Linked DNA regions of Oryzias latipes. The protein of the gene in region 1 purifies or fractionates together with the protein of each later gene. This does not show direct contact. Links are inferred from orthologs where the notes say so. Each region holds a gene or a part of one and is shown on either strand. Other genes may lie near its edges.

Evidence for each region. The genes of interacting proteins can lie anywhere in the genome.
Region 2: the proteins of tnrc6a (region 1) and CCR4-NOT transcription complex subunit 7 purify together in Homo sapiens (affinity purification with western blotting; 3 studies listed by BioGRID and IntAct, with this or other methods). This does not show direct contact. The link is inferred for Oryzias latipes from reciprocal best matches to the Homo sapiens genes TNRC6A and CNOT7.

What each region holds. Positions count from the first base shown.
Region 1 is NC_019866.2:17,733,710-17,737,209, forward strand, and holds part of tnrc6a (trinucleotide repeat-containing gene 6A protein), read left to right. Parts: intron 1-927; coding exon 928-1,056; intron 1,057-1,140; coding exon 1,141-1,215; intron 1,216-1,311; coding exon 1,312-1,486; intron 1,487-1,632; coding exon 1,633-1,779; intron 1,780-1,971; coding exon 1,972-2,142; intron 2,143-2,345; coding exon 2,346-2,486; intron 2,487-2,585; coding exon 2,586-2,693; intron 2,694-2,944; coding exon 2,945-3,163; intron 3,164-3,500.
Region 2 is NC_019868.2:26,784,432-26,788,533, forward strand, and holds the start of CCR4-NOT transcription complex subunit 7, read right to left. Parts: upstream 2,801-4,102; 5' UTR 2,599-2,800; exon of another isoform or gene 2,369-2,598; intron 2,199-2,368; 5' UTR 2,192-2,198; coding exon 2,075-2,191; intron 1,466-2,074; coding exon 1,272-1,465; intron 118-1,271; coding exon 1-117. UniProt on the Homo sapiens protein: Has 3'-5' poly(A) exoribonuclease activity for synthetic poly(A) RNA substrate. Its function seems to be partially redundant with that of CNOT8.

The sequences.
Region 1 (3,500 bases):
GTTCAAGCTCTTGAACAATTTAAAAGTCCTAGAAAAGCTACATTAAGCAATGTTGAAAGTAGACATCACTTTATTTCCTCAATCATACTTTTAGAACCTTATTAGTTAAGGCACATCCATTCTATTTTTTTTATACTGAAAAATATTTTGTTGTGGAAATCAGACAATGTTGACTATTCCCTTTTATATATTTTAAGTTGCCAAAATAAAAGCAGTGTTGCTTGGGTAAAAGCAGTTGCAGTGTTTCACATTGTGATCATTAAATAAACTGAATTGTACCATTTTATTATAATGAAAGACATTGATATTCAGATACAGTTTTTTTCTGAGTCATACTGTTAAAAAAATTAAAAAGTAAAAAAGTTTTCCAGTACAATATCGGGATACTTATCTTATCCTGGGACACATCGGGATGCGCATCGTATCGCCAGACTCTTACCAATACACACCCCTACTAAAAACTATTTCAGACTAAAAAAAATATTGCATAATCTAAAGGTCAAATCATTAGATAAAGTTTCGACTTTATTAACAAATAGACTAACATTCTGGCCCAGACTGACTCCAGCTTTAATCCTGATGGTGCTTGAATGAACACAGAACAGCTGGTTTAACTAAAAAAAAAAAAGTATTCAAACATGTAAAATGTGTTGACTACCACGCATTTGTGCTTTGCAGCCTCATGCTAGATATACTTTTATAACGTTTCAACATGTTGGTGACTCATGCAGCTCCTCCTGTAGTTTTTAAAGTAAATCATTTTATTTTTAAAAGTACTTTACAACAGTGTCACCAAGCTGAACATTTTTTTGGGCACGATGTGAAGAAACAGGCAGCAGATGACCTGATATAAATTTTAAGTTTAAGAAAAACATTGAAAATCTCAAAAATGCTTTTTTTGCTTTGTTTTTTTGTGTTGATGTCCAGGTCCCTCCATCCTTGTTGAAGTACCCAGGGGGTAATGGAGGTCTGCTTGGCCCTCAGCAGGTGGCTATGCTCAACCAACTCTCTCAGCTCAACCAGCTGTCACAGCTGAACCACATCAACCAGCTACAGGTACATAGACCTTTAGGCCTAACTTCCAGCTTTCTAAAACAACCTTTTGTTGCTTCTGTCTTACATTGTGTTATGTGATTGCAGCGCCTGCTCCTCCAGCAACAACAGCAGAAGCTTCAAAACGCGAGAGCGACACCGGTGGGTCGTCCGACTGAACAGGTGTGCACACACACACAACAAAAAAACTCTGAATAACTAGAAGGCTTTGGTATTTCTACAAAATCCAAGTGTCTTGTTTCCTGTTTCCTTATCCAGACACGTCCTATTGGTTCATCTTTGTCAATGATGCAGCCCCCACGGCACCTGGATCCATCTCTGCTAAAGCAAGCTCCACCTCTTAAATCATATGCTGACGGCTACATGTCCCACAATACATCTGAGATGCAGAAGAATGCTCCTCCTCTCGGACCATTAGGCAACTTCCCTTTAAGTATGTCAACTATTGACCGATTCTATTTTTTTTTCTTTCTTTTCTTTTATTGTATATATTATAATTTTTATTAAACGTTTATTATAAGTTTCGTCCTTTCAAACAAAACCCAGAGTTTCTCTTCTCTTCTCTTCATCTAACATTAGGCTTGACCCCTAACCTGAATGTACCCCTGGATATTGCCGTTAGTGGTGGAAGCAGTAGTGGTGGAGCTGTGACCTACAAAGAACCACACCAGTCCAGACTCAAAAAACTTTGGGCTACTGACATCCTGGAGCAGAACAGCAAATCTGGTAAATGTATCGGACTGAATACATTTTTTTTGCTACTTAGATTCTATTTCCACATTAATAAATGTAAATAATCGTGTTCAAAGTTGGTTTTCTTGCTGATCATCCATAACTTTTTGTATTAAAATTGCAACAAAAACAAAAAAAGACGATGGTGTCTTTGACTGTACCCATTGTCTGTTTGCTCCCTCTCAGGTGCTATCTCGTCTGACTTGCGTCTAGATGACTCTCCTTTCTATGACTTCCTGCCTCCTGGTCCACCTCCCCTGAGCCCTCCCGGCCAACCAATAGGCTCAGTGGGTGATGGCTGGCCGCCCCGTGCCAACTCCCCCCCTTCCCATGCAAACACTGTCACCTGGCCCCCAGGTAAATGTTCTATCACTGATTCAAAACAGACATTGATTAGTACCACAGTGAGCTAGCAGCTAAGGTTGTTTTTGCCTCAGAAATACAGATTCATTGAAGTTATTCTTGTAATTTTGTAATATCTAAAAATTTCAAAAAGGTAAAATGCAGTAATCATCCAGTACAATAAAAAATTGTAATTGCTTTGTATTATTATTTTGCAGAGTTCCGACCCGGGGAACCTTGGAAAGGTTACCCCAACATTGACCCAGAGACTGACCCTTATGTGACCCCCGGCAGTGTCATCAACAACCTCTCCATCAACACAGTTCGTGACACCGATCACCTCAGGGATAGGAACAATGGTAGGCTGCAGACAAGTTTTGACCGATCAGCTGATGGCGACACAGTGGAATCTGTATGCATAGATCCAGTCTCTAACCCCTGGCTATTCTGGTTTGCAGGGCCACCCTCATCACTGAACACCACGATGCCTTCTAACAGTGCCTGGTCATCCATTCGTGCCTCCAGCCACAGCGGTTCCCTCACCAGTACAGCACAAAGCACTTCAGGTAGCCTTAAAACCCATCCTTTAAAAAAAAAAAAGGCTCATGTGAAAATAAATAATTCAGAGAACCTTAATTTAATACGAATTAATACATATATAAGGTGCTCCAGTTTAGAAGACACAGTTGTTTTTGAAGGCTTTTAAGTATGCCTTATATTGTGGAAACTGTCTATAAAAAAGGCATACAAACAAGATCTTTTGTTAAATGGTCTGGAGGTTTTAATGAAATGAAAATGGTTTTCTTTTGCTTTGCAGCTAGACCAAGTGAGTCAAAGTGGTCTCCTGGAGGTGGTTCTGTGTCCAACTCCTCCCTAGCCCATGAGCTTTGGAAGGTCCCCTTGACTCCCAAGGCGCTGCCGGTTGCAGCTCCTTCCAGGCCACCACCCGGCCTCACCAGCCAGAAGCCCTCTGGCTGGGACAGCTCTGCTCTGAGGCGGGGGGGCTGGGGCTTCACCGAGTCAAGATACACACCTGGTGGGTTCAGAGGGAATTCATACAGTCTACTTCAGTTTGTTTACTTTTAACAAGCTGGTTTGTTGAGTTAAAAAAAGAAGTGTTTCCTTTTCTTTTGAAATTGCTATATCCTACTGATTTCCAGCTATGTAATTTTTTTTTCTTTGTAGAGGACATTTCTAAACCTGAATATCTTCAACCACTGCATTTGCTGAATGAACTTCTTTTGGTTTCTACAGAAGACTTTTGGGTATTTTCAATGATAGAAAATGTGAAGGGGTGGGGCTCTGGGAATTGTAATTTTTCTGGATTAAAAAAAAGTTGACTGGACAAATGTTTTAATAGTCAGGAGGTGAAG
Region 2 (4,102 bases), on another chromosome or scaffold:
GATGTCATCAGCAGCTCTGCAAAGAACAGCGTCTCGATGCCTTCTTCCTCGTGCTTCTTGAACTGAATTCCTGAAGTGGTCAGGAGCTCGATGGAGTCCTGCGCGTACATGTCCTCTCTGGTTAAAACAATAAATACATAAATGAAATAAATAAATAAAACACATCTCTGTTTCTAAGCTTCACGCTTTCATTCCAAAAAAACAACAAACAAAACGCCACAGAATAACCATTAAAAAACTTAAACTTTGTAGGTTTGCTCAGCAAAGAGGGAAACCTTCAAAAAAAAACTTAAGGCAGGAATAGATCGACTAGGATCTGACTGGATGCTGGAAAAAGTGCAAATTCTTCCATTTGGGAACGATGGACAGAATAACGCTTGACTTTGAAAAGCATCGTTGAACCCACGGGGGACCAATCGTGTGAGAAGGGATGAAAGCGCCGCTCTTATTCTGAAAGACAAATGCTTCTCCTGTAAGCCCCGCCTCCTCCGTCCCAGAACATCCACCATGGATTTCTCCAAGAATCTTTAGATGTTTTACATGATTCACAAAACAAACATAACTTAAAATTTTTTTTAAAAAGCCACCCAAGCTTACGTAAAAAAAGTAAAAAAAAACCCCATCTGTTTAACAATAAAAAACAATTAAAAAAACACCTGTGCTTCCTATTTAGAGCATGCATTATTGCTATTTTTTTCATTAATTACTTGTATTTTTCAGGCAGCTTTGATCTGTTTTTTTTTTTTTAAATATAAAAACTCCTATTTTCATTCAGGATGCTTTCTCTTCGATTAATTTAAATCCCCTTTGTGCGCCTACCCCCTCTGATAAAAAAAATGTAAGTTGTGTTTTTGGAGGGCTTAACATGTGGTGGTGGTTTTTTTTTTTGATGATACATAAAGAAAATTAACCTTCGTCTTCCTCGTCTGAGCTGGCTCGCCCTTTTTGTTGCACCGGTCAATATCAGGTCAGGCGGTATGAGGGGGCTGTAAGCTACCGGGAGATTGTGTAAACAGAGAGCTCTCAGCAACAAGGAAGGAGAATAAAGGGTAGAAACTGCAGAAACTATATCCAGGAAAATGACAACTTTTTTTTGTGTGTGGCTAAAATACGGAATAACCATAATTTAAATCTGATTGGGAATGCTTTTAAAATAGATCAAAGGCATATAGGACTTTAATGTGTTTTGAATTGAATTGTTTTTACAGATTGTGAAGTCGTTCATGGGAATCCAAGCGGACGAGTCTGTTTAGACATAGTGAGAGACTCACGTGAGGCTAAACTTAAAGTTGAACTGCCACGTTGACGTCCCGGGGGGGTACTCTCCCTGCTCGTTCATGAAGGTCAGGCCCAGCTGGATGATCTTCAGCAGGTCCACGTTGCAGCGCAGCAACTGGTACTGATAGTCGGCATTGCTCCGGAACTCTCCGATGGGTCGGGCTACAACTCCTGGAAACTCTGTGTCCTGAAAGAGGCAAGAACGAGGGACCGTGGACACCAGTGACAGTGGGTGGGTGGGAGGATGGATAGATGGATGGATGGATGGATGGGTGGGTGGGTGGGTGGGTGGATGGATGGATGGATCGATGGTTGGGTAGGTGGATGGATGGATGGGTGGGTGGATGGATGGATGGATGGGTGGGTGGATGGATGGGTGGGTGGATGGGTGGGTGGGTGGGTGGATGGATGGATGGGTGGGTGGATGGGTGGATGGGTGGGTGGATGGATGGATGGGTGGATCGATGGTTGGGTAGGTGGATGGATGGATGGATGGATGGATGGGTGGGTGGGTAGATGGATGGATGGATGGATGGATGGGTGGATGGGTGGGTGGGTGGATGGATGGGTGGGTGGATGGGTGGATGGGTGGGTGGATAGGTGGATGGATGGATAGGTGGATGGATGGATGGATAGGTGGATGGATAGGTGGATGGATGGGTGGGTGGATGGGTGGGTGGATAGGTGGGTAGGTGGATGGATGGATGGGTGGATGGATGGATGGATGGGTGGATGGATGGATAGGTGGGTGGATGGATAGGTGGATGGATGGGTGGGGTCTCTGAGCATCTCTCACCATTGCGATGTAGTTGTACTTTCGGATGACGTGCCGGATTCTCTTGAGCTCCTCTTCCAGGTTACTGGCCCAGACCTCACATATTCTTTGGCTGTGGTCTACAGTGGCTGCGGGCATAGTGCCACTTCACCACGCGTGGAGATGGGGGGCGGGGGATGATGAGAGCATCATGAAAACACAGACAAAGCAGCCGAAACCACATGAAAAGAGCCGCTTAGTTAGTAGTAGAAGTCATGTGTGTTTTAGCCGCCTGCTAGCTCGTAATTTAAAGCAGCACTGTTGCTAGCTTGTTACCTGTTAACAGTTAGCGGGTTGGAGGTAAAACTTCCGAACAAGAGGAGTGGCGACTGTGCGGTTTTCTCACACAAAACATTAGTTTCGATCAACTACACAGGAGTGGTTGTACAACAGGACAGGCACGAGTAAGTAGCAGCAGTGCGCGCGCGCGCACACACGCCGGGGCGTCACTTCTTTTCTTTTTTTTTTTTTTGGGAGACTGCAAAGGTTTTGTTTCGTTGACTCACCGTTCCCCGAAACGGGCGCGCGCGTGTTTGAGCGTGTGCTATCTGAAAGCTGGCCGTGTGTTCTGTGATATCTGTCAGCAGGGAGGGGAGGGGGGTGTTCCGCCAACTTTGAAATACTTTTATATTCAGTGGGGCTTGATGTCAACCTACGGCTGCCATCACAGCGGACCCCACACAGTGACGTCATTACGTAAAGTGAAACGTCAGGACGTAAGGACGTTTCAGGATCCTCATCCGTAAAATGTGAAAAAAGGTTTTCCAATAAATGTTTGTAAAGAGGAATATATAAATTTTAAAAAGTACAAATAAACGTTATATATTTCTTATTAATTACTAATTTATTCAAGGTGAACAGGCTCTCGTTGAAAGTGTATATATAATTATTTTCAAAGGATATATTATTTTTAAAAATTATACTGTACAGATTTTTTTTATTTTTTCACAAAATATATTTTCTTTTCAATTTATATTAAAGTAAAATAAACTTTTTTTTGCCCCTAAAGTTATATTATTTTGGTAAATTACTGAAAAAGTTTTACACAAATAAAAATGTTAGCCATGAAACCAAAAAGGCCACATTTTAAATTCAAGTAAAACATGATGCAGAGATAAATTCGTTTTTCAAATCACTTGTTTTAATAAAAAAGTACAATTTTCACAGACGCATCATAATCCAACGTTCGCATTTTTGTTGATTTTGATCATTTTATGACCACTCTAAGATGAAAAAAAAGAATGCATATGATTGACATCTTTAAGGGAAACATTTTCAACAAATATGGACTAGAGGACATTTAGGGTGAAAAAGATTTTACCTTTAACTTTTATTGTTGAACACAAACCCTCAATAACCAATATGTTGTGTAAATGCCCTTATAATTTTTCATACCTTATGTAATTTTTGTAATGTTTAATTTTTTTCTATGTTATCTGTATTTCATTCTTTTTCTTTTTCTTTGACCTTTAACCCCTCATCCCGTAAGTTAGTAATTCATAACATTTCATTTTCTCCAGCACTTCATTCACAAAGGAAGTTTTTTCAACATTGAGAATAAATTCGGGCATGAAGTATTTTACACAGCTGCAAAAATGATGACACCAGTGGTTCTTTTTGTGATGCCAAACCTGAAACTATGACCCACATTTTCTTGATTTGTACACATCCTCAGGTAGGATGTGTACTTTTTAAAACAAAATAATTTATTTATAAACATATTGTTGCTTCACTTCCTCATCTTCTATTTATTTGCAACACAAAGACAAAATGGGACAATCTCCCACTATGTAATTTTTTCTAAAATAAAAAAAATCAGTGGCTAATATAAGATTACAAAAAAATCGTTTTTAGTAAATATTATTGCATTTAGGCTGCACGGTGGCGCAGTGGTTAGCGCTCTTGCCTCACAGCAAGAAGGCCCCCGGTTCAAGTCCCGGCTGGGGGACGTGAAAAACAGAACATCAATGGGGGACCTTTCTGTGTGGAGTTTGCATGTTCTCCCCGTGT